Linked DNA regions of Macaca mulatta. The protein of the gene in region 4 purifies or fractionates together with the protein of the main gene of each other region. This does not show direct contact. Links are inferred from orthologs where the notes say so. Each region holds a gene or a part of one and is shown on either strand. Other genes may lie near its edges.

Evidence for each region.
Region 1: the proteins of CSNK2A2 (region 4) and SAP30BP purify together in Homo sapiens (affinity purification with mass spectrometry; 3 studies listed by BioGRID and IntAct, with this or other methods). This does not show direct contact. The link is inferred for Macaca mulatta from reciprocal best matches to the Homo sapiens genes CSNK2A2 and SAP30BP.
Region 2: the proteins of CSNK2A2 (region 4) and POLR2E purify together in Homo sapiens (affinity purification with mass spectrometry; 3 studies listed by BioGRID and IntAct, counting the BioPlex papers as one, with this or other methods). This does not show direct contact. The link is inferred for Macaca mulatta from reciprocal best matches to the Homo sapiens genes CSNK2A2 and POLR2E.
Region 3: the proteins of CSNK2A2 (region 4) and EIF3A purify together in Homo sapiens (affinity purification with mass spectrometry; 3 studies listed by BioGRID and IntAct, with this or other methods). This does not show direct contact. The link is inferred for Macaca mulatta from reciprocal best matches to the Homo sapiens genes CSNK2A2 and EIF3A.
Region 5: the proteins of CSNK2A2 (region 4) and PHRF1 purify together in Homo sapiens (affinity purification with mass spectrometry; 3 studies listed by BioGRID and IntAct, counting the BioPlex papers as one, with this or other methods). This does not show direct contact. The link is inferred for Macaca mulatta from reciprocal best matches to the Homo sapiens genes CSNK2A2 and PHRF1.
Region 6: the proteins of CSNK2A2 (region 4) and PES1 purify together in Homo sapiens (affinity purification with mass spectrometry; 3 studies listed by BioGRID and IntAct, with this or other methods). This does not show direct contact. The link is inferred for Macaca mulatta from reciprocal best matches to the Homo sapiens genes CSNK2A2 and PES1.
Region 7: the proteins of CSNK2A2 (region 4) and HAGHL purify together in Homo sapiens (affinity purification with mass spectrometry; 4 studies listed by BioGRID and IntAct, counting the BioPlex papers as one, with this or other methods). This does not show direct contact. The link is inferred for Macaca mulatta from reciprocal best matches to the Homo sapiens genes CSNK2A2 and HAGHL.

Annotation. Positions count from the first base shown.
Region 1 is NC_133421.1:85,405,997-85,409,496, reverse strand, and holds part of SAP30BP (SAP30-binding protein), read right to left. Parts: intron 2,322-3,500; exon of another isoform or gene 2,133-2,321; intron 975-2,132; coding exon 883-974; intron 150-882; coding exon 89-149; intron 1-88. UniProt on the Homo sapiens protein: Plays a role in transcriptional repression by promoting histone deacetylase activity, leading to deacetylation of histone H3.
Region 2 is NC_133424.1:1,752,873-1,757,054, forward strand, and holds the start of POLR2E (DNA-directed RNA polymerases I, II, and III subunit RPABC1), read right to left. Parts: upstream 2,801-4,182; 5' UTR 2,756-2,800; coding exon 2,699-2,755; intron 1,498-2,698; coding exon 1,323-1,497; intron 1-1,322. UniProt on the Homo sapiens protein: DNA-dependent RNA polymerase catalyzes the transcription of DNA into RNA using the four ribonucleoside triphosphates as substrates.
Region 3 is NC_133414.1:131,129,253-131,131,774, reverse strand, and holds part of EIF3A (eukaryotic translation initiation factor 3 subunit A), read left to right. Parts: intron 1-596; coding exon 597-798; intron 799-2,006; coding exon 2,007-2,197; intron 2,198-2,522. UniProt on the Homo sapiens protein: RNA-binding component of the eukaryotic translation initiation factor 3 (eIF-3) complex, which is required for several steps in the initiation of protein synthesis.
Region 4 is NC_133425.1:53,802,437-53,806,415, forward strand, and holds the start of CSNK2A2 (casein kinase II subunit alpha'), read right to left. Parts: upstream 2,801-3,979; 5' UTR 2,430-2,800; coding exon 2,326-2,429; intron 1,545-2,325; coding exon 1,433-1,544; intron 1-1,432.
Region 5 is NC_133419.1:502,087-505,586, reverse strand, and holds part of PHRF1 (PHD and RING finger domain-containing protein 1), read right to left. Parts: coding exon 1,594-3,500; exon of another isoform or gene 1,548-1,593; intron 1,193-1,547; coding exon 1,041-1,192; intron 890-1,040; coding exon 629-889; intron 436-628; coding exon 307-435; intron 1-306.
Region 6 is NC_133415.1:20,962,847-20,966,038, reverse strand, and holds part of PES1 (pescadillo homolog), read right to left. Parts: intron 2,127-3,192; coding exon 2,010-2,126; intron 1,892-2,009; coding exon 1,817-1,891; intron 1,586-1,816; coding exon 1,443-1,585; intron 1,234-1,442; coding exon 1,054-1,233; intron 662-1,053; coding exon 536-661; intron 419-535; coding exon 234-418; intron 1-233. UniProt on the Homo sapiens protein: Component of the PeBoW complex, which is required for maturation of 28S and 5.8S ribosomal RNAs and formation of the 60S ribosome.
Region 7 is NC_133425.1:1,941,921-1,945,933, reverse strand, and holds the start of HAGHL (hydroxyacylglutathione hydrolase-like protein), read right to left. Parts: upstream 2,801-4,013; 5' UTR 2,662-2,800; exon of another isoform or gene 1,954-2,661; 5' UTR 1,929-1,953; coding exon 1,824-1,928; exon of another isoform or gene 1,478-1,823; coding exon 1,413-1,477; exon of another isoform or gene 1,325-1,412; coding exon 1,207-1,324; intron 1,125-1,206; coding exon 1,016-1,124; intron 937-1,015; coding exon 836-936; intron 743-835; exon of another isoform or gene 663-742; coding exon 561-662; exon of another isoform or gene 461-560; coding exon 381-460; exon of another isoform or gene 295-380; intron 180-294; coding exon 11-179; 3' UTR 1-10. Other genes in the region: CCDC78 (coiled-coil domain-containing protein 78), read left to right, coding at 2,822-3,124, 3,344-3,478, 3,561-3,647, 3,863-4,013. UniProt on the Homo sapiens protein: Hydrolase acting on ester bonds.

The DNA.
Region 1 (3,500 bases), on a different chromosome or scaffold from region 4:
CCTTCTGTGGCTGCAGGTCAAACCCCATGGAACAAGCACAGGACCCCGGGTGTCCCCATCACCCTCCAGCTCCGTGTGCCAGATGTACCTTTGGGTAGTTGGTGCCAAGCTCGTCAATGGCACAGAACTGGATCAGCTTCTCGTAGATGCTGAAAAAACAGCACAGGCGTTGAGCAGGCACAAGTCCACGTCCCTGCCTGGGGCCTGAACCATCCAGCTCCTGGGGCTGACACAAAACCTTCAAAACCTTTAAATCCAGCTCAGCTGCTCTAAGCAAGCTTCCTGATGGCCCTACACCCTCCCAGGGAGATGGACCTGTTAACTAAGGGCCGGGAGGAGCATGGGGTCAAGGTGATGGCTGAGTTTTGTCCCACTGACCTTCAGTCTGCATGGCTGGGTTGGGCTCACCACACTCAGGCCCACACAAGGGCCATGCTCTTTCCCCCGTAAGTCACTAGCTTGAGCATTAAATGGAATAAGACCAGACATAGCTCTGGTCCTAAGACCTCTCACCTATATGCAAAAATCAGCTTTTTAGAGTTGAAAGATGAACCTATAGTAATTGTCTAGTCCAATTCCTTCCATGAGGACAGGGGTCTTGAGAGGTCATGTGCTTTAGGCTCAGAGCAGGGACGAGAACTCAGCCAGGTCTCCCTCATCCCCGTCTAGGTCTCGGTATGGACTGCTTTGTGTTTTGTCAGGATCTTAAATGGCAAGCCTCTGGCTGGGTTAGCATAGTCTGCCGTGTCCAGCAGGCACTCAGTGTAATGACAAGTCTGGGTGATGGTTTGGGCTCAGGGCTTTTCCTCACCACCTCCTTGGGGACGTCCTTAATCCAACATTAATAACTCAATAAACTCTGCAGGTTCAAGGGAAACTTACCTGGGGTTCCGAAATTCTTTCTTTCTTTGGATAATGTAGTTCATATCCATTCCCTCCTTTATTTTTCGTTCATAAAGCTTCTGGATCTTGTCCTATGGAAGAGGAGCAGAGGGGTGTATGACAGAAGCCCACCTCTCCACCATCCCAGCCCCTGGTCACCAGCTACGTGTGCAGCATGAACGTGAGGCTCCAGAGCCACGCAAAGCCCAACTTGACCTCATGTTAAAATTTAACCTATTCTTGGCCGGGCGCGGTGGCTCATGCCCGTAATCCCAGCACTTTGAGAGGCCAAGGCAGGTGGATCACGAGGTCAGGAGATCGAGAACATCCTGGCTAACACGGTGAAACCCCATCTCTACTAAAAACACAGAAAATTAGCCAGGCATGGTGGCAGGCACCTGTAGTCCCAGCTACTTGGGAGGCTGAGGCGGGAGAATGGCGTGAACCCAGAAGGCGGAGAATTTAACCTATTCTCAGCCGGGCGCAGTGGCTCACGCCTGTAATCCCAGCACTTTGGGAGGCTAAGGTGGGTGGATCACAAGGTCTAGAGATTGAGACCATCCTGGCCAACATGAAACCTCGTCTCTACTAAAAACACAAACAACATTAGCTGGGTGTGGTGGGGCACGCCTGTAATCCCAGCTACTTGGGAGGCTGAGGCAGGAGAATCGCTTGAACCTGGGAGGTGGACATTGCAGTGAGCTGAGATCATGCCACTGCACTCCAGCCTGGTAACAGAGTGAGACTCTCTCAAAAACACGAAACAAAAAATTAACCTATTCTCTTTTTCCACCCTACCTTTTGCCCAGAATTGCACACAAGTAACATAAACCAAGACCAGGCTGCTTTCACTGCTGAGGTTTCCTGACACTCTCTGGATGACAATATAGTGAGCAGTGAAAAGATCACAGCAGAGGAGCCACGGAGAAAAAAATGAACAAAGCCCCAATTGGTTAATCAGTTCCAGAATCATCCGAAGCAGGGTGTAGGGTACTGGTGTTGATATGCAGGGAATGAATCCTGGTTTTAAATTTTAACATGAGGTCAAGTCCTCAGCAGAACTGTGAACCACAGGAGACTTCGGAAGGGCTATGGCCTTTTCATGGGAGGCAGGAGTAGTTGTTTGGATTCGGTCTTGCAAGCTTTTTAGAATGTGTCTTTTACGGGGAGGCGCACAGGTGGCTGGTCCGCGCTGGCTTATCGAGGGTATCAAGGGTTAACTGCTTCTCTCTCACCCAAATTCCCCACAGGTCATGCCTGGCTCTCAGTGGGAGAGTGGAGAACCACCACGGGGGATGCAGGCTGACCTACTGCGGCCAGTGCCACAGGCGTCCTCAGGAAGGGGGTCCTCCCCAGCCCATGGACATGATGCCCAAAGTAGATGGCATCAGCATGGCCCAGTGCCAATGAAGAGGGCCAAGACACCAGAGCCACCTCTGGTAAGAGCAGTCTCAGCCAGGAAGGCGGGCACTGGTCCAGGGCAAGATCTACCTGCAGCCTCCCCCTGCAGTGGGGCTTAAACAGAGATTCTCCAGAAGGGAAACACCTGAGGCACTGTGCCAGCAAAGCGGGCGGGCAGGCCTGGAGGGCCCAGGTGACAGCGTTTAGGACATGTCAGGAGGGGTGATCCACTCCCCTTATTAGAGGCCAAATCTTTCTACCGAGACTGGCCAGAGCAAGAGCTGAACCGCAGAGGGAGGTCTGTGATATAATCGCCGAGACTGAAGAACTTCTGTCCTCCAAGCTATCTCCTCCAGGGTCATGGAGGGAGCCATATATAGAAGGCTCAGCAACTTGAGGAGAACCCATGTCATACAGATGACTTGGCTGCGTCTCCTGGGCCGTAAGATCAGTTCTACCACCCCAGATGAACTAAAATGTTTGCTCAAATGCCATGGTTTCCACCATCAGGAGGGTCTAAAGAGGAGGCACATTTGGCACTGCAGGCAGTGCGCCAGCTGTCTCTGCCTGGCGGGTTGCTGGAGTTGTCCTTACAGGCTGGAGCTTGCTGTCTGGTTGTCTGGCATGGAGGGTGACGTGATTCTGGAGGGTGGTGGTGGGGAGACGACTCAGCTATGGGAGGAGACTTCCGGGAAGGGAAGATAATCTGCCCTGCACCCCCAGTTCTGACTCTGGCCCTCCCCCAGCGTGCTGCATTCCTTAGCCTCAGGTCCCATTAGTCATCCATCCGTTAGGGTGGTGTCACAGGCTTGCTGTGCAGCCAGAGGCCCCCAGTGGAAGCTCCAGGATCAAAGGTGAAGCAGGTGGCCCAGGAGCCATGATTGTGCAGCCTTGGGTGCCTGTTCTATTGTTCATCACAAGGGAACCCACAGAGGGACAAGGAGAGCCACGGGCTGAACCCCAGATGTCCCCCCCGTGAGTGTAACTGCACAAAAGCTTCGACTCCTTGGGATTTGAAAACCTCCTGTCAGTGCTGCATTCTGTCAAGCAAGAAGCTACTGAATCAGCATTTTAGAAATAGATTAGCGTAGAAAAATGTATATATATAAATGCTTGTGATTTTTTCATTTCTGTAATTTATTTTACATTCTGAGGGTTCCTCAGTTTCTTAGCAAAGCTCTTTCTCAGAAGCTCCCATTGGCCCAGTAGGGCTGCAG
Region 2 (4,182 bases), on a different chromosome or scaffold from region 4:
CGTGGTGGCGGGCACCTGTAGTCCCAGCTACTCTGGAGACTAAGGCAGGAGAATGGTGTGAACCCGGGAGAAGGAGCGTGCAGTGAGCCAAGATTGTGCCATTGCACTCTAACCTGGGCGACAGAGCGAGATTCCGTCTCAAAAAACCAAATAAACACTACTAAAAAAAGTAAAAGTAGCCAGGTGAGATGGTGTATGCCTGTAAACCTAGCTTTTTGTGGGAGGCTGAGGTGGGAGGATTGCTTCAACCCAGGAGGTGGAGGTTGCAGTGAGCCGAGATTGCGCCACTGCACTCCAGCCTGGGTGACAGAGAGAGAGACTCAGCCTCAAAAAAAAAAGAAGACCGGGCGCAGTGGCTCACGCCTGTAATCCCAGCACTTTGGGAGGCCGAGGCAGGCAGATCACCTGAAGTCAGGAGTTTGAAAGCAGCCTGGCCAACATGGTGAAACCCCATCTCGACCAAAAATACAAAAAAAAAAAAAAATAGCCAGGTATGGTGGTGGGTGCCTGCAGTCTCAGCTACTCAGGAAGCTGAGGCAGGAGAATTTTGAACTCAGGAGGTGGAGGCTGCAGCGAGCCGAAATGGCACCACTGCACCACCTGGGTGACAGAATGAGACTTTCAAAAAAAAAAAAGCAGTAGCATCACCCGGTTGGCAGACACGCTCCGTCCACCCCACTGATTAATTCTGGGCACGCGGCTGTGTCCCTAGGCGCTGGTAGTCCCCCAACCACTGAGGGCGCTAGAGCCATCCTGGGGGGGGGCAGACAGGTGGGGAGACTTCCACGGTCCAGGTGCTGAAACCGAGGGTCCCAGGGGTCCCGGGAAAAGCGGCCTGAGCACAACCTCGAGGGATGAGTAGCGGACGCTGACAAGGCAGAGGCGGCATGGGGTGCAGAGGAATGGGCTGGGGCAGACAGGGGCCACAGCTCACAAGGAGGCTGCGCTGACCCACACGGGGCCTCCTGGGCCAGGCCAAGAAGCTGGAAGTGCACCCAACGGCCAGGATGGGGGAGCCAAGGAACACAGGTAGGGCAAAGGTCATGAGGGGCTGCGGGTGAGTAGGGAGGTCCATGGGACTCTCCTGGTTGGCAGGAAGAAAGGGGACCGATGAGAGGGAAACCAGAAAGAGGCTGCGCATGAGAGGGGTCAGAGGTCCACGGCATCGCCCACAGCAAGGAAGAGGAGGGGAAGTTTTCCTCCCAGATTGGGCAGAGGATCAAACGCTGGGCACGAGGCGGGAGGGGGTGGGTGCTAGCGGCCGGCTCCTCAGCAGGTGCTCGGGCGGCTCCACCAGAACTCCCCCGGGACCCGCTGCTCACCTGGAAAGAACACAAACATCTGGTCGGTGGGGTCATCGTTGTGGGCCACCAGCACCGTGAGGTCAGTGCGCCGCGGCCGCCCCTCACTCGGCTTGTCTCCAAATTGGGCTTTGAACTCCTCCAGTGTCTGGTCAAGCTCGTCCTGGGTCACTAGGTAGCCACGGTCGTGGCACAGCTGCAGAGAGAAAGAACCAGCTGACCCCAGGGCAGAGACAGGAAGGCGGCCAGAGCTCGTGACCCAGAAGTCAGACCTGCGGCTGCTGCAGAGGACAGAGGTGAACAGCAAACGGAATGAACACTCGCTGTGTGCCCCATGACAGCCATCCTGGCCCCCACAGCCCCACACCACAGGATGGGACCAGCGTGATCCCGAGAGGCTCGCAGAGGTGTCCAGCCTTGACCAAGACCGTCCGTCTATCCAGCCTCACAGGAACCTGGCAGGGGGCAAAGCCCTCCAAACCACTTTGCAGAGCTACCCTAAAGACAGGGACAAAGACGGGGCGTGGGGGGTCACGTCCACGACCCCAGAGCTCAGGGAGGCCGAGGCAGGAGGGCTGCTTGAGGCCAGGAGTTCAAGGATGCAGTGAGCTATGACTGCACCACTGCGCTGCAGCCTGGGCGACAGAGTGAGAGCTTGTCTCTTAAAAAAAAAAAAAAAAAAAAAAAAAAAAAAAAGACAGGGACCGAAACAAATGTGACTTCAGGCTGACAATGTTTGCGGCCCGGAGGAAGGAGAATCAGGCTGCGGGGGGCTTCGCTAAAGACAAGGGCATAGGGGGTGGGGAAGCAAGACAAAACAAAAGCTCCCAAACGGCCCCAACGGCTGAGGGAGGACCCTGAACCGCAGGCCCTCAGACCTTTGCCCAGTTTCCAAACCGGAGTCGGCCCAGTGGCCTCCATCTGTCTCAGACCCCGAGGCACGGGTTCCGGGCTCCACGTCCCCATCGAAAGCCCCAGCTCGCCTGCTGCTTCCCAACCACCAACTCCGCCAGCCTCGGATGCTGAGACGCCCTGGGGTTCAGGACGCAAGGACAAATGGCGACGCTGAATCACAGAGAGGGGCAGGGTCTGGGGGCGCCCCCCGTCCCCATTCGCACCTTCCTCCTCTCGCCGCCATGTGCGCCGCACCAGCCCAAGCCGCCCGCCCACCGCTAAGCCCCGCACCCAGACGTCTCGAAACCCCCTCCCTTCCCCGCTGCCGGCTCAGGTCGGGCCCAGCGCCTGGGATCCCCGGCGGCCTCGGGGCCTCCCGTGTCGGCCGGGCCCTCCGTCGCTGCTGCTGCGACGGGAGTACGAGGAGACGCCGAGCTCGACCTCGCCTCGGGCCCCTGCACCTGCTGCTCGCGCCCCCGCCCCCAACACCACGCGCGGCTCACCTGCATGATGGTCTTGCGGATTTTCCAGAGCCGGTACGTCTCCTCCTCGTCGTCCATCGCCGCCACTCGCACCCGTTTTGCCTGCGAGAACCCGCGCGGACTGCGCCTGCGCCGACTCCCAATCAGGCCCCCTCCACGTAACCCCGCCCCGCGATGGGCTGTCGTCGGCGAACGCCTGAATGCAGCAACTTCCGGGATCGGCAGCGCCAAGGGCAGCCCGAGCCTTGCGAGAACGGCAGTTTGCTGCGCGAGACTCTCCCTCCGTAGTTCTCGTGTGTCTTTGGCTGCACGGCCTCTTGGGAGTTGTAGTTTCCGTTCAACTCCCACGTTGCGGCGACAGTTTAGAATCCCATGAGGCGGGGGCGAAGTGTGGGCGGGGAAACTGAGGCCTGGAATGGGTCAAGGGGCAGCTCGGCTCCTAGGGACGGTCGGGGAGCCTAGTGGGAACTCTTTAAATATTTGTGCATCAAACTGTACAGGGTTTCCTCTGTTGGCTCCAGGCCAGGTCAGGGTTAATGCCCTTGGGCCTCAGTTTCCCTACCTGTGCAATGGCAAAAAGTGTCCCTACTTTAGGCGGTTAACTGAGAGTCTTAGGTAGAGCTAGGCATATCTCTAGGTGCTTTTTAAGTCCCTTCACCTCTGTCCTCTCCCCTGAGTGCCAGCCTAGCCTGGGTATCTCCCCACCCCAGATCCGTCCTGTCTTTGCAAACCTCACCTCCCCAGATTCACGGAGGATCCCAGCCCAGCACTCGCTGTGTGAAGGCAATCAGTCACTGACTCAGTGATGCATTCATTAATTCAGCATTTACTCAGCAACCTACAGTGATGGTGAATAAAAACAGGCCAGGTATCCCTTGCATTCAGAGACAGGATTTAGTAAAATAACGTTACTGGGCGCAGTGGCTCATGCCTGTAATCCGAGCACTTTGGGAGGCTGAGGTGGGCAGATCACGAGATCAGGAGATCGAGACCATCCTGGCTAACACGGTGAAACCCCATCTCTACTAAAAATACAAAAAATTAGCTGGGCCAGGTGCCCGTAGTCTCAGCTACTCGGGAGGCTGACGCAGGAGAATGGCGTGAACCCGGGAGGCGGAGCTTGCAGTGAGCCGAGATCCGGCCACTGCACTCCAGCCTGGGCCGCAGAGCGAGACTCCGTCTCAATAAATAAATAAATAAATAGGACAGGCGCAGTGGCTCATGCCTGTAATCCCAGCACTTTGGGAGGCCAAGGTGGGTGGATCATGAGGTCAGGAGTTCGAGACCAGCCTGGCCAAGATGGTGAAACCCTGTCTCTACTAAAAACTACAAAAATTGGCCAGGCGCGGTGGCTCAAGCCTGTAATCCCAGCACTTTGGGAGGCCGAGATGGGCGGATCATGAGGTCAGGAGATCAAGACCATCCTGGCCAGGCGCGGTGGCTCAAGCCTGTAATCCCAGCACTTTGGGAGGCCGAGATGGGTGGATCATGAGGTCAGGAGATCA
Region 3 (2,522 bases), on a different chromosome or scaffold from region 4:
TACTGAAATCTGCGTGCAATAGGAAAAATTGTGAAATTTTTAGTGATATTTTTGTTTTATGGAGCACTCAAGCCAGATCATTTAAGGTTTTTTTTTTTTTTTTTTTTCCCCCCTGTTGTTTTTTTCAGTCTCACTCTGTCGCCCAGGCTGGAGTGCAGTGGCACTATCTTGGCTTACTGCAACCTCTGCCTCCCAGGTTCAAGCGATTCTTGTGTCTCAGCCTCCCAAGTCAAGTAGCTAGGAGTACAGGCGCACCACCACACCTGGCTAATTGTATTTGTAGTAGAGACAGGGTTATTAACATGTTGGCCAGGCTGGTTTTGAATTCCTGACCTTAAGTGATCTACCTGGCTTGGCCTCCCAAAGTGCTGGAATTACAGGTGTGAGCCCCACCGTGCCCGGCCCATTTTAAGTTTCTTATATAAGTTTAAAATACTGTTAATGATGTCTCTGCAGTGATATACATAGCTTTAGTGTTTTTTTAATCAGTATCTTAAAAGTAGCATTTAGAATGATGATGAATTAATGCCAGCGTCTATTCATGATTGCCAATCTGTTTCTTCTTTTAAAAATATTTTGCTTTTTCAAAAAAATAGGTGGATGGAGAGAGAAAGAAAAAGCCAGAGAGGAGAGCTGGGGTCCACCTCGAGAATCAAGGCCATCAGAAGAACGTGAATGGGACAGAGAAAAAGAAAGAGATAGAGATAATCAAGATCGAGAGGAGAATGACAAGGAACCTGAGAGAGAAAGGGAGAGAGAGAGAGATGTGGATCGAGAGGATCGCTTCAGAAGACCTAGGTGTGATGTTCTAATTAAATTATTTGTAGAGGCCGGGCGCGGTGGCTTATGCCTGTAATCACAGCACTTTGGAAGGCCGAGGTGGGCGGATCACCTGAGTTCAGGAGTTCGAGAGCAGCCTGGCCAACATGGTGAAACCCTGTCTCTACTAAAAATACAAAAATTAGCTAGATTTGGTGGTGGTGTGCCTGTAATCTCAGGTACTCAGGAGGCTGAGGCTGGAGAATCATTTGAACCCAGGAGGCAGAGGTTGCAGTGAGCAGAGATCGTGCCATTGTACTCCAGCCTGGGCGACAAGAGCGAAACTCCATCTCAAAAAAAAAAAAAAAGTTTGTAGAGCTGCAGTTGGGGTTGTTTTAGACACCGGCCTGTGTATTTCAAACTGTTTTTCAGAAATGATGTTCCTTGCTATTCCCCAGCACCCCCCTTATCTCTTAGAATCATAATGCAGGCTTTAGAGGCAGGAGAGTTGCTTGAACCCGGGAGGCGGAGGTTGTGGTGAGCCAAGATCGTGCCATTGCACTCCAGCCTGGGCAACAAGAGCGAAACTCCATCTCAAAAAAAAAAAAAAAAAAATTTTTATAGATTATCTAACCAAACATTCCCTGTTAAAGCAAGAAAATGGAGGCCCAGACTTCGTGGCTGTCTATAGGCTGTATGACTGTTGGGCAGTGGAACCAGTCCAGCTGTCTTTGTCAGTCCATTGCTTTTCAACCTGTGGTTTAGGGCAGTCAGTTTTTTTGCCCTTAAATTATCAAAAGCCCTTCGATTTTATTGGTAGTAGAAGTTCTAGCTTGCTCCCTCTGCCAAAGTGTCCTTGCACTGATAAATGTAGACCAGCAGTGTTCAATGCAATTTTCTGCAAGGAAGAAATGTCTGTGTCTGTGTTGGCCAGTATGGTAGTCAGCAGTCACATTTGGCTGCCAAACACTTAGAATATATGGTTGGTGCTCCTAAGGAAATATCTCCATTTTACTTTAAATTTAAGTAACCACATATGGGTAGTGGCTACTGAGTGGGATGGCACAGATCTGAGTGTTCTCGTTTGTTCTCCATGCCCCAGGTATCAGGTAAGGTCAGGTTATGAGTTTAAACTGTCCTGTTACATTTGTAAACTCTAAGCCCCAGCTTGGATTGGATGTACTTATAATTATCCCATTTGGTCTAACAGTAGTAAGAACCTGACTTGTCATTGTAAATGGCTACAGGGATGAAGGTGGCTGGAGAAGAGGACCAGCTGAGGAATCTTCAAGCTGGAGAGACTCAAGTCGTCGGGATGATAGAGATAGGGATGACCGTCGCCGTGAGAGGGATGACCGGCGTGATCTAAGAGAAAGACGAGATCTAAGAGACGATAGGGACCGAAGAGGACCTCCGCTCAGATCAGAACGTGAAGAAGGTATAGATGTTACATACAACTGAAGTATTGGAGAACCGTCATTTCTTGGGGGGGGATTTGGGTTATTTAATTATATCGTAAACTTGTATGAATGCCAACAATAAGAGAGCTGATGTTTATTCCATTTAGAATTCAGGATTTTCATACAGTTAATGGTCGTGTTGTGAAGTGCACTTATCTCTAAATTCAAAGTACAGTAGTAGACTAAATTGGATAGTAGGCAATATATATAAAGTTTACTTAATAAAAATGAAAAAAATTGTTATTTAAAAGCAACTTCTTGAGAAATTAAGCACAAAGTAGAAACATTTTCTCTGAAATTGTA
Region 4 (3,979 bases):
CTCTTTACTGCAATTCTGCTTCTTCATCACTAGGCTAGGATGTTTTGAGTGATGGAGTTAATCATTTTTTCTGAAAGATTACCAGGAAGCATAAGCCTGACCCCTCACATTAAACAGTGATTACCTACACAGCTGCTCTAACACACAGAAACAGCTTTTCAATTCCACATTCTTAGTCCACAGAACCTCTGCAAAAGGGCCACACTGGAAATCACATGTATGCAAAGTGCTTACGTCACTCTTCCGTCTTCTCAATCTCTCACTAAATGACATGTAACCACATGAAATGATCTGGCAATAACGAAGACCCATCACAGATTCTAAGAACTACTTTTTACTATAGCCTATAAAACATTATTAAAGCTATACAATTAATCTGTTACCAGAAGGAAAATTTAGCCGACCCTTCATGCTCATTAAAATCATCTTCATGGAAGAGATAACAAAAGACATATCATTATCAAACTGATTGCTAAACCATATATTAAAATCGTTTTGTTCCAATTATTGCTTTAGTAATAATACGTGAATTCTTCTACATTTTTACTAGCTGATAAGCAACAATGGCTCTCTGGCTTCCCAACAAGGCTTCTCAGCACTACTGGCGCACTATATCCATCCCACCTGAAACTTTACTGCCAAAGGAAAAAAAAAAGCAAGTGATTATCTGCTAAGGAATTTCCTTCCACTTGGGTTTGACATACATTTCTGAAGTCGCTCCAATTTTTTCCAACTTTCTTTCTGGAACAACGGAGAGCATGCACCAAGACTAACAAACACAGTGCTCAGGGAGCCCTTAAATTGAGAATGGCTTTCCTGTCTTTTGAATACCTATTTATTTTCTAACAAATGGAGCCCTTTAGGAATTTTTGCTTTAGGCAATTTACTTTTTAGAACAAACACCTTCCTGAACTTAGATTTGAACTAAGATCTGTGACCAGTCTGCACATTTTCTTGAAAGTTCACAGCAAAATGGGGTGGAAAAAGAAGTAATGAAGGGACATCAGATAAATAAAATCTGAGCGTGGGCTGGGCACAGCGGCTTATGCCTGTAAACCCAGCAATTTTAGGAGGCCTGCAAGGAGTCCTTTTGGAGGACTGCTTGAGCTCAGGAGTTTAAGACCAGCCTGGGCAACTTGACCAGACCCTGACTCTACAAAAAAATTTTAAAAATAACTGGGCGTGGTGGCATGCACCTGTAGTCTCAGCTACTTGGGTGAGATGGGAGGATCATTTGAGCTCAGGAGTTGAAGGCTGCAGTGAACTATGATCTGCACTACAGCCTGGGTGACAGAGTGAGACTCTGACTCTAAATAAATAAATTAAATTAAATTCAAGCTTGCATTGCCCATTCTAGAACGTGACTGGGGTAGCTTACAACCTTCTGCCCTGTGGGGGGAAAAATGTTACATACCACTCATAGGACACTCACCTTGAGGATTTTTACAACCACTCTCTCATTGTTGGTGATGTTAATGGCCTCAAATACTTCACTATATTTTCCCCGACCAAGTTTTCGAACCAGTTGGTAATCATCTTGATTACTGTAAAAGGAAGACACACACATAAATGCCAGGACTGGGGGTTAATCTAAGCAAGCCTATGCTCACTGTATACGTCATTCAGCCGCTTCCAACAGGCAAACACTTGGAAGTGTCTATACATCACGTCACAACTCATTCCCTAAATGAAAGCCACGACGTAATCTTGGCTCCCTTCACTCTGCAGAGCTCCTAACCTAATTGGTCTCTCCTAACTTGGAAAGATGGGGCAGGAAGGCAACGCTCTGAGCCAATCCAGAGGGCTGAGCAAAGCACCCGTCCTGAAGGCCTAGAGGGTGCCCCCTGTGCCCCGCGGCTCCCCAGCACCTGCTTCCCGTTTCACACCCTGAGGGTAGACAGTGCCTGTTTTAAAAAACTGGACGTCTTTAAGAAATTTCCTCCCACCACCTCATCTCAGAAAACCGAAAAGGCAGGGAATTTTAATAGCTCCAAAGGACAGCTGTTGACTTCCCACCCCAGTGGAAACCCAGAAGCGTGAGGAAGGGCTACTCCCTCACTTTTACCGGGCGTCGATCCCTGGACCCCACACTTCTCCCCGAGTAAAAAAGCATTCCTTGGGGGAAAGAGGTGCGCAAAGCGGGGAGAAAGGGACAAGGGGAGGGAAGAGGAAGACGAGGACATGTGCGAGAGCTGGACCTCTGCCTCCCTGCGGGCCCGCGGAGGGGTCGGCGGGAGACACCACCGGGCCCGAGTGCGGTTCGCAGGGGGTGGCCGGGCGGGGGCAGGGGTCAGCGGGCCCGGCGGGGGGCGGCGGCGGCTTTACCCCCAGCTCGGGACGTGAGCCTCGTAGTCCCAGTACTCGCGGCTCCTCAGGCTGTTCACCTCGGCGTAGACCCGGGCCCTGCTGCCCGCGGCCGGGCCGGGCATGGCGGGCGGGACCGGGGGGCGGCGCGGGGCGCAGAGGGTGGCGGCGGCGACGCGGCGGAGGGCGCGGGGCGGCGGGCGGAGGGGGCAGCGGGCCGCCGGGCGCTGGAGGAGGAGGAGGAGGAACGCGGCGGCGGGCGGCCGCGCCAGGCCGGGCCCGCGGGGGCGGGCGGGCTGGGGGCGCGGGGGGCGCCGGCCGAGCCGGCCCGGCCCTGGAGCGGCCGGCGGGGCGGCGGGGCGGGCGGCGCTCGCGATCCGCGGCGGTCTCCGCTCGGCTCGCGGCCCCCAGGAGGCGGCGGCAGTGGCGGCGGCGGCACCGGCAGTGGCAGCCACCGGCCGGGAAAGGGGCAGCGGCCGCGGCAGCGGAGAAGAAGGAGGAGAGAAGGAGGAGGCGGAGGAAACCCGGAAAAGGGGCCGCGCTCGCTGGGAGCGGCCGCCGCCCGGCCTGGGACCGCCCAGGCTCACAGCGCCCCCTGGAGCGCGGGGGGACCCGCCGGGCGGTGCCGGCCCCGCCCCGGCCCCGCCCCGGCACGCCCCGCCGCCTACCTCGCGCCCTCCCGCACCGTCCCGCACCCTCGCCCTCCCGTCGCCCCAGGTCGGACGGTCCAAATCGCCTCACCCTCGGGCTGGCCTGACTTCACGCCACAGGAGCCCCCCTTCCACTGGCCGTTGCCCTAGAGCCCTCGCCCGCGAGTCCCGACCCTTTCACTGTCCTTGGAGACCCTACCCCTAGCCCTGCACTCACCCAGCTTTTACCCACCCGACACCTCCCATACTGACCCTATTCTGACCCTCCTGTCACCCAAACTGTCAAGTCCCTCCCCAGGGCCTCGCTCAAACCTCAGAACCTCTCCCACCTCAATACTTCTCCTTTTCCCGGAGACATACCCCTCCTTCCCCCTCTGGACCCTGCCCTGTTAGGGTAGACTCCTCAGTCCCCAAAGCTTCCCACCCCCGTCATTCAGAGTCCTCACAAAACCTTTCCACGCTTCCCCCAAATGCCCTTCCAGAGCCTTCCCTGAATATCCACTTTGGTCACTTGGTTAAGCTGGCGTCGGCCAGGTTGTGCCACTGCAAAGTTACAATTTTTCCCTTTGTGATTAGTTAGTTATTTGTGGGGAGAGACTTTGAGTGTGTAAATCTCCTGTTTGTGTTTAGGAGGAGGGAGAGCAGAATTGCAAATCCGACCTGAAGGGACAGCAGGGATTGGGGATGCACCAGGGTAGGTGGTCAACTGAACTGGCCTGGCTTCCAGTGTTGCTTGCAGCCCTGAACACCCTTCTCCTTGGACCTTCTAGGCCCTTCCTTTGTCTTCCTTTCCCATCCTGCATCCTTTATCGACAGGACCTCTGCACCCAGTGCAGGTTGCTCTCATTCCAATCCCTTTTCACAGTCTGTTTTCTAGATGAAATCCTGGGCCTTCCTCCTTGACACAGCTAAGAGCACAGACTGTAGAGTCAGATCTATCCAGCACTGCTACTTAGAAGCTGTGTGACCTTAGGACAATTACTCAACCTCTCTGTGTCACAGATTCTACAGCACAAAACCAGTAA
Region 5 (3,500 bases), on a different chromosome or scaffold from region 4:
CACTCTGGGGGTCTTGTTCTCCCACCTGTACGCTGGGCGTGGGCTGGGTAATTTTACATATTGCAAAACACGTCTGCGTGGGCCTCGCAGGCACTGAGGCACCCTTCTTCCTAACCATCTGCCAGGGGCAGCCACAGGCGAACCCACCTGACCCCAGGCCTGCAGGATGTGGCAACACAGCCACCTGCCCTGGCTGGCTGACCTCGGACCTGCATTCACGGTCACCCCAAAGTCCGTGTTGACGAGACAGCAGCGACGGGCTACCCGTGACCCCGAGCCCCACACACAGGCTCGCGCGCAGCCCACCTTCTGCACGGCCTTGCGCAGGATGTCCTTGTACTCCTCCTTGGTCACCTCCCTCTTCTGGTAGAAGGGCTTGATGGCCAGTTTCACCTCCTCCACAGCACGCTCCTGCATGTGCAGCTTCTTCATGTACTAGAGGGGGACAAATGTGTGACGCGGCCAGGCAGGGGGCCTGGAGTCCCTCTGGCCAGAGGCACTGCGGTTCTAGACACCTTTCCAGTTCCGGAGGCACAGGGACTGGCTTCCACCCCTAAATTCAGCCCCGACAATTTTAGTTTCACAATAAGACAGGAACGCGGGGAAAGTGGGAGGAGGCAGGACTCACCTCCTCCTTCTTGGTTTTCTCTGCAGCCAGCCTGGGAGCCGGGGTCTTCTCCTCTGAGTTGCTGGCTGCAGTGGCTTGACTGGCTGGCTCTGAGGCTGGGGTCAGGGCAGTGGGCACTGGGGCCAGGGTCTGTGCTGCCCCACAGCCCACTAGCGGCAGGCTCCCCTGCAGGATGAACTGGACCGTGGGCTGGCTGACCAGCGCACAGGGTGGGATGCTTGAGGGCTGGGCTGGGGCAGGTGGCAGGCTGGGGCTGTAAACCTGGGAAGGACACCTCTGCTGAGCACCGGGCCCTACGGCTGGCAGCTCTGCCCAGGAGCCGTGAGGCCTCAGCCCCAGCCTCGTGTGGCGTGTGTGGCACGGGTGCCAGGCCACTGCCCACAGCCCACAGCCCTCCAGCCCAGGCACCCACCTGAGAGGGGTCTGTGTCTGGGAACCCAGGCTCCGGAAGCACATGACTAGGAAGGGGCAGCTCGGAGAACGCCTGCCTGACCCCTGTGGGGGCCACGTCCTCCACATCCCAGGCTCCTTCTCGGGGCTTCTGTGGCCTGTGAAACAGTGCCCCTGGGGGCCCGACAGACAGGGAGGTGGGTGCTCTGTGCCCGCCCCTGCCCAGAATGCTGTTTCACGGCTGGAAAAATCCAGAAAAGCGCCAGGAGCAAGGACCACAGAGCAGCCCTCAGATCCACCCCCAGCAGCAAGGGAAGGTTGCGAGGTGCGCCAGCTCCTAGCCACTGATCCCCCACCATGACCTGCTCTGCCCGCCTGCAGGAGACCCCCGCACCCACTATCCCAGTCTTCCCTGGCTCCAGAAGCTCCCTGTGGTGCGCAGGACCCTACTCACTCAGGGTTCCTGTTCTCAACATGGGTTGGATTCACTAGGGGCTCTGTCCTCAGCGGGGGCCGGGGCCCTACTCACGGGGGGCTCTGTCCTCAGCGGGGGCCGGGGCCCGGGCCCTACTCACGGGGGGCTCTGTCCTCGGCAGGGGCGCTGCTCTCCGACTCCTGCAGGTTCCAGGTGACCCGCTTCACCAGGGCTCTGGACCGCAGCAGGGGGGTCTGCAAAACCACCTCCTCAGGCCGGGCTGCCTCGTGTGCCCTCCCGCTCACGGAGGGGCCGTCTTCCTTCCCCACAGGCGCCACATCCAGGGCACTGGGCGCCTGAGCCTTCTCAGCCACATCCGGCCTGAGCAGATGTGGCTCCTGGGGGTCCTCTGGCAGGGGTGGGGGCTGTGAAGGGTCTTCATCGTGCATCAGCGACACCTCCCTCTGGATGGCGGCCACGGCCAGGCTGGCTGGGGGCAACGCGGGCTCCGGTGGGAAGTCTCGCTCTGGGGAGGAGTCTGTGCTTTCGGGAGAAGGTGGCGAGCTCATGTCATCGAGCTGGATGAAAACAGCTTCACTTGAGAAATCGTCGAAGACGTGCCCGGCCTCCACGGAGTCGCCATAATCCAGGTCCAGGTCGTCGGGCTCACACTCGGCTGCCACCTCCAGGACAGGGGGGGCCTGCAGGGGGGCCTTGTCTGCCGTAGCCACCTCCACTGAGACATGTGCTTCCCCCAAGGCTGGCGACCTGGTGGGGAGGTCTTCCTGCCCTGGCTCCCCCTGTGCAAGGGGTGCTGGGGAAGCGTCCCTCACAGGCCCCTTCCTCTCTGGGGAATGGGACCGGGGCCTCGGCCGCTTCTCACGGGACCGTGGCCGCCTGTGCTCCCGCGCCCTGCGCTCCAAGCTTGGGGACCGGGACCTCCGCTTCCTCCGGTCTCGGGGCCATGCCACGCTCTCCTTCCTGTCTGGCCGTTCGTGGCTGCGTTCCCGCTGATGCTTGTGCCTGTGGAGCCTCTCCAGGCTGCTGGTGGGGGAGCACTCCCTTCCCCGAGGCCTGGGCGGCGATCTCCTTTTCTTCTTCTTCCTGCTCTCATAGGGCTCGTAGGAAGAACTGCCGGGGCTCCCCGAGCGCGACCGGGACGTCCTCCGGCTGTGGCCCCAGGGGCCCCGCCTGTGCTCCCTGCTCCTGTCCTTGGCTTTCTTCCTCTTAGCTCGTTCTCGGCTGCTGGAGCGGTCGCTGGAGGACCGCCGGCTCTTGGCCTTGGACCGCTGCCTCCTGGGGCGCTCCTCACCCACTGATGGTGACGCTGACCTCGAGCTCCTGTCCCTGGATTCAGAGCGCGTCCCAGAGCGCGTCCGTCGGTGCTCCCTGGCCACCCTCTTCCTCTTGGCCTTCTTCCTGCCGCGGGAGCTGGATGTGGAGCGGGACCGGGAAGGGGGCCTGAGCTCCACCACTCTGTGGGTGGCCGCCTGCGGCATGTCCGGGCTGGGCGGGGCTTCTGGCTGCACGACAGTCACACAGGTCACCGTCCGCTCCTCAGAGCCAAAGAAGGTGCTGCAAGACGCCCCATCCTCCTCGTCCCAGGGCTCCGGCGGGGATGGCCTCCGCACCCGGGCAGCCAGGCCCTGGCTCTCCGCAGGCTCCTCTCGCTCCGTGTCAGAGGCCCCCCGGAGCTGGGACACAGTAGAGGACGGCCCACGAGGGGGCTCAGGCTCTGTCCCAAAGATGCTCTCCACTGTGTAGGAGGTGACGCAGCGCACAGCCTGAACCGTCTGGGCCTTCGGGCTTTTGATGGAGATGGTTCGTGTGATCTCAGAGGGCAGGAGGCCAGGGCCAGACCTCTCGGGGCTGCTGCTCGGGGCGCTAGAGTCGGAGCCGGTGGGGTCAGACGGGTCGTAGACCTCACTCCGCAGCGGCTTCGTCTTCTTGATGGAGAAGAGAGGCGAGGGGTTCTCCTTCCTCTGCTCCTTGCTGTCCACGGGCCGGAACGTGTTACAGAAGCCGGGGCTGGAGAGCTGGCTGGAATGGGCCATGTTTCCAGGAATA
Region 6 (3,192 bases), on a different chromosome or scaffold from region 4:
AATGTAAACTCTGATGACAACGCAGCACGTTCTTCTGCTCAGTTATCCTGAACGTCAAATAACACCTGACCCCAGGAGGCAGATGTCCCTTCTCCGAAGCCTTACTCCACAGGTGGCTTCAAAGGGCTTTCTGCTCCTACTGCCTGTTCCCTGGAGCTTTCCACCTTGGCAGCCAAGGGAAACAGCCAGTGTGGGCCCAGGGGCCAAGGCCAGCCCAGTCCCATCCTGCTCACCTGGGTCCTCTCCCCGCTGCAGAGCCAGCAGCTTCAGTTTCTCAGGTGGGACGTAATCTCCTTCCCTCTCGGTCACAAAGGGTGAAAGGTGTGGGGGCAGCTGCACCCCAGGGAAGTACTCTGCCACGGGGAGGAGGAGCCTGGCGTTCACCGAGTCAAACACCCACTGGGGCTGCACGTAGCACCTGGTGCAGAGTGGCAGGCAAAAACGAAGTCATGGAGGGCAACTCAGGGTCCTGCTGCATCGCAGGGCCTTTGAGATGGGACACGCAGAAATCCAGATAATCAGATTGGGGGCCTACCTGCCAATGACTGAGGTCTGCTGCCCAGGCCGGTCGACAATCTGGTGGGTGATGCGGGAGTCTGTGACGTCATAGGTGGCCCCGATGCACAAAGACTTGTCCCAGGACACTTCCCCCCCAAAACTCCTACAGGGACAGGGAGAGCCCACACGGGTACACAGACATGAACTGCCTGTCCTGGGACTCAGCTTCCTGGGATCTGCTGGCCACCCAGTCCAAAAACTCACCCTCTTAGGGCACCGTTGCCCCCTCCTCACCCCAGGATCCTCCCATCCTGGCTCAGCAGAGATCTGCCCACTGCTCATCCTTCTGTGCTAAGCTGGTAATAAAATGACGGTAGTCCCGCCCTCTGCTGAGTGCTTCCTATGTGCTCAGTGCAGTGCCGAGCACTTTCCACACACTCTTTCATAAGAAGTAGAAACTGACACCATCCCAATGTTACTGATGGACACCAGGGCAGGACCCAGACCAGAGCATGGCCGAACCAGTGCTGTCAGAGGGCCCTTGAGCCTCCCTACCTGATGATGAAGGCCAGGGCCTCACGGGGCACCTCTCGGTTCAGGAAGAACTTCAGGCCTTCAAAAAGCTTCTTGTGCTTCTCCTGTGCCTCCAGCTCCTTCCTGCGGTCTTCCTCCTGTGCTGACATCTCCTGTTGAAAAAGAGGCCAGGCTTCGCACCACCAGGGCTGCCCACCTCCACTGGAGGGCCAAGGCTGGAGATAACGCCCACTCCAGCTTCCTTCTAGATCCTGGATCCTGCCTTCAAAGGAAACTCCAAGGCCCCACTCCTGAACTCTGTTGCCTCCTATGTAAACTCTGATGACAATTCAGCCCGTTCTTCTGCTCAGTTGCTTTGACCGTCAAATAACACCTAATTTATAGGATGCAAATGTCCCTAAGCTGGGAACCCCCCCACACGACCCCTCCCAGTCCTCCTGCCAGAAGGCAGTGCAGTGCTCACCCCATCGGTGGGAAACTCATCCACCTCGGCCTCCTCCTCTGTGGCAGGCACCACCACGCGGGCCAGGCTGGCACTGAGGGCCGCCAGTTTCTACAGGAGAGAAGGGGCTGCTTGCAGTGGGGGACCTCATGCGGGCATGGGGCCAGGGTGGGGAGGGGCAGCAGTGACAGTCCTGGGCATCAGCAGGTGTGGGTTCCAAGGGCAGGCTGAGACCACCCACCTAGCCACAACCACCCCCACCCTGACCCAGACCCCCAGAGGTATTGGGGACAGAGACCACGCCCTTGGGAGATGCCAGGTGACGCTGCTGGAGCCTCTTACCTCCATAGAGCTCTCGGAGTCCAACGCGTAGGTGCCCTCACTGGCCTTTGCCTCTGCTTGGGCCTGCCCCTCGAGCTAGTAGGCAAGGGGAAGGTCAGGGGCAGAGGACAGCCACAGCCCCTCGCCTCTGTGTCGACAGAGAAGGGCTGCGGCCCCTGCACCGCGAGCAGAAGGCACTGGTATGGGGTCCTACCTTCGGGGGGTAGTGCAGGTTGAGCAACTGGTAGAGGCGGAAGTTGACGAAGCCCAGCAGTGTGGTGTAGAACTCAGTGAAGGTGGCCATGACCCTGTAGTCCACGTCTGTCGGGTGCTGAGGAACACAAGAGGTGCATGAGCAGTGTGGGCGCAGGGATGGGAGCAAAGGAGGGACAGACAACCACAGAGTGGAGGGCGTCTGACCTACCCGAGGACTCCAAGCTCCTCAAGAAGGCACTGCCCTAGGGAAGGGGTGGCACGGATCTTCCCACCCAGGGGCGTTCTGGCCACAAGTGTTCCCAGCCACAAGTGAGGCTCTGGATAGGGGTCCCAAGGGTTAGAGCCATCCTCGAAGTCAGTGCCAGACCCCCATAAAAGAGTGAGAAAAGGAACCCTGGTCCCCACTGCTCCCAGGACTGGCTGGTCCTCCCCTCCCTGCGCCAGTTCTCCCACTCCCTTCAGGTCTAGCTCAGACTCGGAGACACCACTTTCTGACCCGGCCGGAGCTCCTGCCTTCTGCATCACCTAGCCCACAATCTTTGCTGCATGTCTGCTGCTGGGCTAGCGTGTGGGCACCAGGAGGGCGGTGCTCCCAGCGCTGTCCCTAGCCCAGAAGGGCTGGCAAAACCTTAGCTGACTAAGGTGCCTTGGGAAGGCCAGGCTCAGCGGGGGCGGGGGATGAATGGGGCTCAGGCCACCCACTGAGTCCCACCTCTGAACCTCGGGATGGACACTCAGAATTGAGTGACCCCTCCTTGGGCCCAAGCCAGGTCCAGAGCCATGACCCAAAGGGCTGGGGTAGGCTGGCAGCTGGCCTGGCTCAGCCCCCAGGCAGCTCTTGGGAAATGGCCAGCAGACAAACTACTTACTGCTCAGGGCAAAGGCAAAGAGCTGTCATCCCAGCAGCAGGGGACACAGAAGGCTTATCTTCGCCCTGGAGCAGCTAATAGGGCAAAACAGGGCAAAGAACTGAGGCCCAGACAGAAGCACCGCAACTCTTGAGCGGTTCTGCCCCCTAAAACCATGGAGGCCAAGCCAGCCCAGCTGGCTCCCAGGACGCAGCAGGATGTTCCGAGCAACATGAAAATCAGTAGTGATCACCATGAGTGCCGGGTGTGCCCATGACTCTCAGCTGTTCTGCTATTCTGCTGCCAGACAGTGACCTGTGCTGTGAAAGCACA
Region 7 (4,013 bases), about 52 Mb from region 4:
TCTGGATGGGTCACTCCTGTGGGGCTGCACTCAGGAGCCCCCACTGCAGCGCAAGGAGGGCCCGCGCCTGTGGCTGCCGCGGCTCGCCTGCCTGTTCGAAGCGCGCCCGCTCCTTGTAGAGCGCCTCCAGGACGTCAGCGGGGACCGCCTTGCCCGTGAACTTGCGCACCGGCTCCTCTCTGCAGGAAGGAGTGCAGTGAGACGCAGGGCCCACTGCCCACGCAGGAGGATGGTGCCGAGTGGCGGGGGCGGGCGGGAAGGCACTTAATAAGCAGCCTCCCCCAAGCCAAAGATGCTCACTCAGCCCAACACGCGGTCCCCAGATGCCTTCCTAAGGGTCCACGTGACGGTGGAGGCCCCGGGACGACAGCCATACTCACGCCACCCGCAGGAAGGGGTTGTAGAGGCGCTCCTCGCCCAGAGTCGACGGCACTGTGGGCACGTCATCCTCATCCCTCTTCTGGAGTGACCACAGGCCCTGGTCACCATTGGGCCTTCTCTGAAAGCCCCCCAAAGCCTGTGCCCCCCACCCTCTTGCCGAGGCCGGAAAGGGGCCGTGCCTTAGCCCAGGACAGCTTGGCTCTCACGTGGTCGTTGCACGGCTCTACTTTCTGCGCAAACTCCAGGTTGCTAAGCGTGTGCTCGTGGCCGCAGAACACCTTCTGGAGGAAGAACGCTCGGTGAGCGCGCGGGGAAAGTGCTCGCGCCGCTGGCGTGGCCTCCCCTCGCCGGCTGCCCTCAGGTGGGCATTCACTCTGCACCCCTGGCACAGTGCAAGTGCGGAGCGTGGGGCCTGCGCCCACGGGAGAGGAGGGGAGGGCCCAGGCCCGCTCACCGTCTCGGGGGGCAGGGTGCCCAGCTCGGCCAGGCTCTGGTACATCTGCTGGGCGCTGCCCTCCAGGCACGAGCCGCAGCCGGCCACCGACAGCGCGTCCCCTGGCGGGGGAGGGCGGGTCAGAGCAGATGGGGCGGGGCCGGCGGGAGGCGGGGTGGGCACGCTCTGCGCTGCGGGTACCCGAGAACAAGGCGGGTGGGTCCGGGCAATCGTCCTCCCACAGGAAGTAGCTCATGTGGCCGGAGGTGTGGCCGGGCGTCAGGAGGCAGCGCACGTGGATGGCCCCGAACTGCAGCGGAGGAGCGCGCAGACCTGTGAGGGCGGGCGGAACCGGGGCGCCCTCCCCGCCCCTCCAGGGGGCGCGCGCTCACCCGCAGCTCCTCGCCGTGCGCCAGCCTGCGCGTCAGCGAGAAGATGCGCTCGTCCGCGCCCAGCACCGCCAGCCCGGGACGCAGCCGCGCCAGCTCCGGGTTTCCCCGCGCGTGGTCCCTGCGGGCGGGCGGGCGGGGTCCGGGTTAGGTCGGGGTGGGACAGGGCGGCGGCGTCCTCCCGCCTCCCCCGCCCCGCCGGCGCTCACCAGTGATGGTGGGTGGTCAGCACGGCAGTCAGAGACACCTCCTCCCGGCCCACGATTTCCAGCAGCTGAAAGGGACGGGAGTGACGATAACACAGACGGTCCCAGTGGGCCACCCCCTCCATATCGGGGCGCCAGGTCCTGCCCCAGGCTGGCCATTGCCCGGGGCAGCGCCAGGGAACGGGGACCCAGCGGGCGGTGACTGCGCCCAGCCCGTGCGGAGACCACCAGGCAGCAGCGAAAGGGCGGAGGCCAGAGGCGCCCTAACTTCAGGGAGCCCCGAAATAATCGAGGAACCCCAGCCGCCAATGACGCCCAGAGAGCACTGCACGTGGGGGCTCGCTCCTGCCAGGGGGGTAGGGGAGGCTCTCGAGGGTCACGGCGGGGTCCCTGCTGCCCGCGGCCTGCCCTCACCCTCTTGGGCACGGCCACGTCCACGGCCACCGCCTCGCGCGTGATCTCCTCGATGACCAGGTACATGTAGTTGTCCTCGAGCACGGGGATGACCTTGACCTTCATGGTCACGAAGCTCGGCCACCCGTGCCTGCTCCAAAACAAGCCCCCCAGCCCACGGTGCCCCTTCAGGGCGGGGCCCGCTCTCCACACTCTAGGAAGGTCTGTGCGAAGCGGGCTCGGTCAACACGCTGGGGGCCAAATGAGGAGCCCGGCTCCCTAGGAACTCCCCGGCACTCGCGTGGAATTCCACGCACCGGGCTCCAGTAGGAGCGGAACCCGGCCGGTCCCCAACCCGCCCCGGCTCCGCCCCCAGGCCGAGCCGCAGTCCCCGAAGGCCACGCCTTCCTGCCAGGCCCCGCCCCTCGGCCCCCCGCCCTGCCGCCGCAAGACCCCTGACCCCGGGCAGCCGCGTTCCCCCGCCGCCCGCCTCACCCGCACTGCTGCGCTGACGGCCCGAAGGACAGACAGACGGAGGCGGGGCCTCGGCTGCCGGTCACGGGGTCTGGACGGAGCGCGGCGCCGGGCTCGGGAGCAGCCAACCGCCCCCCTCCGCGGACGCGCCCCGCCCCCGCCGGGCCCGGATCCTGCGCGCGGTGAGACCACAAGGCCCGCCGCCGGGGGTGCGCGTGCCCGGTGGGGCGCCGCGCGCGCGCTCCGACCCCGCCGCGCCCGGCGCTGGCACCTCCTCCAGAAAGCCCTCCGGAACGCCCCGGCTGAGCCAGTCGTTTCCGAGTTCTCTGGCCCCTGATTGGGACCTGCGCGCCCCGCTTCTCAGGCCGGAGGTGCAGAGACATACCTCCCCGTCCGGGGCTCAGCCAGCACTGCTAGGTACACAGAAGGTGTCCAGCGAGTGTAGCTCAGGGCATCCTGCGGGCGGGCTGCTGCTCCATTCTGCGTGCTTGTCCGCAGCGTCAAGGCTGGGTGCTTTCACGCACCTGGTTCCATCTGCACAGGGAATGTGCAGGGGGCGCTGGGCCGCATTCCCCAGATGGGGAAACGGAGGCACGGAGAAGAAGAGCTGTCCTTCCTCCTCCACAACCACAGGTCTGGCCTGCCACTGTGGGCGGGGCCCTGGGAGTCACTTGGAACCAACAGAGGCCTTGGCAACGCACGCAGCAGTGCTTGTGGCAGCAGCCGCCATAGGGAGGCCAAGCGTGGAGGCGGCACCGGGCTCGGAGCTGGCCAGGGTCCCCTTGCCTATGGAGCACGCAGCCACCACAGGCCCCAGGCCTGGACCTCCCCCTCGGCGGGTGGACAACGTGAGTCCTCTGGGACGCACCACTCCTGCCACGGGGCTGGAGTCTGCCCTTTCCCCCAGGGGCCAGGAAGGTGCAGGTGCCTGCACCCTGGGTCTAATCTCAGCCAAGGGAGGAACTTTTGCTGCTCAGCCAGGCAGGGAGAGGGGGTCAGTAACTGCATGGGAGTGGGGCCACCGCTCCAGGGACCCACCTGGGGAATGGGTGGCGGTGCCTCCCCAGGTTGTGCTACGAGCCAAGGACTGGCTGCCAGGAGCTCCTGGGGGCACCACAGCGTGGGGCACCACGGCGTGGGCCACCAGCCTGGAAGCAGAGGTCCCACCAGATCTGGTGCTCAGTGAGGAGCAGCAGCTGCAGGTGGGTGTGGGGCCCCAGGGTGCTATGAGGGAGGGTGCCAGCAGGGCTCCACAGATGCCACCTCTCACCTGGCCACCCACAGATCTCCAAGGAGCTGGTCGACATTCAGATCACAACCCACCGCCTACAGGAGCAGCATGAGGCTGAAATCTTTCAGCTGAAGAGTGAGGTGAGCAGCCGTGTGAGCCAGCCTCAGTGCATGGGGGACAGACGGGTGCAGGCCCAGGACACGTGCCCTGCACGGGTGTGCACACGCACATGGCATCTGTGGGTCTTGGCCTGCCCTGTGAGTGCTGCGTGTCCCTGAGCGTGCACCAGGTGAATGTTCACCTCCCCCAGGTGGCCCGCAGGCAGGTGTACCCGCTCATGCCAGTTGTCCTACAGATCCTTCGACTGGAGAGCCGGGTGCTGGAGCTGGAGCTGCATGGAGATCACACCAGCCAGGGCTGTGCGGTCCCAGTGGAGGCTGACCCCATGCACCGCTGGGCACCAGCCCAAGAGCTAAGACACAAAGCCCAGGTGCCTGGACACTCTG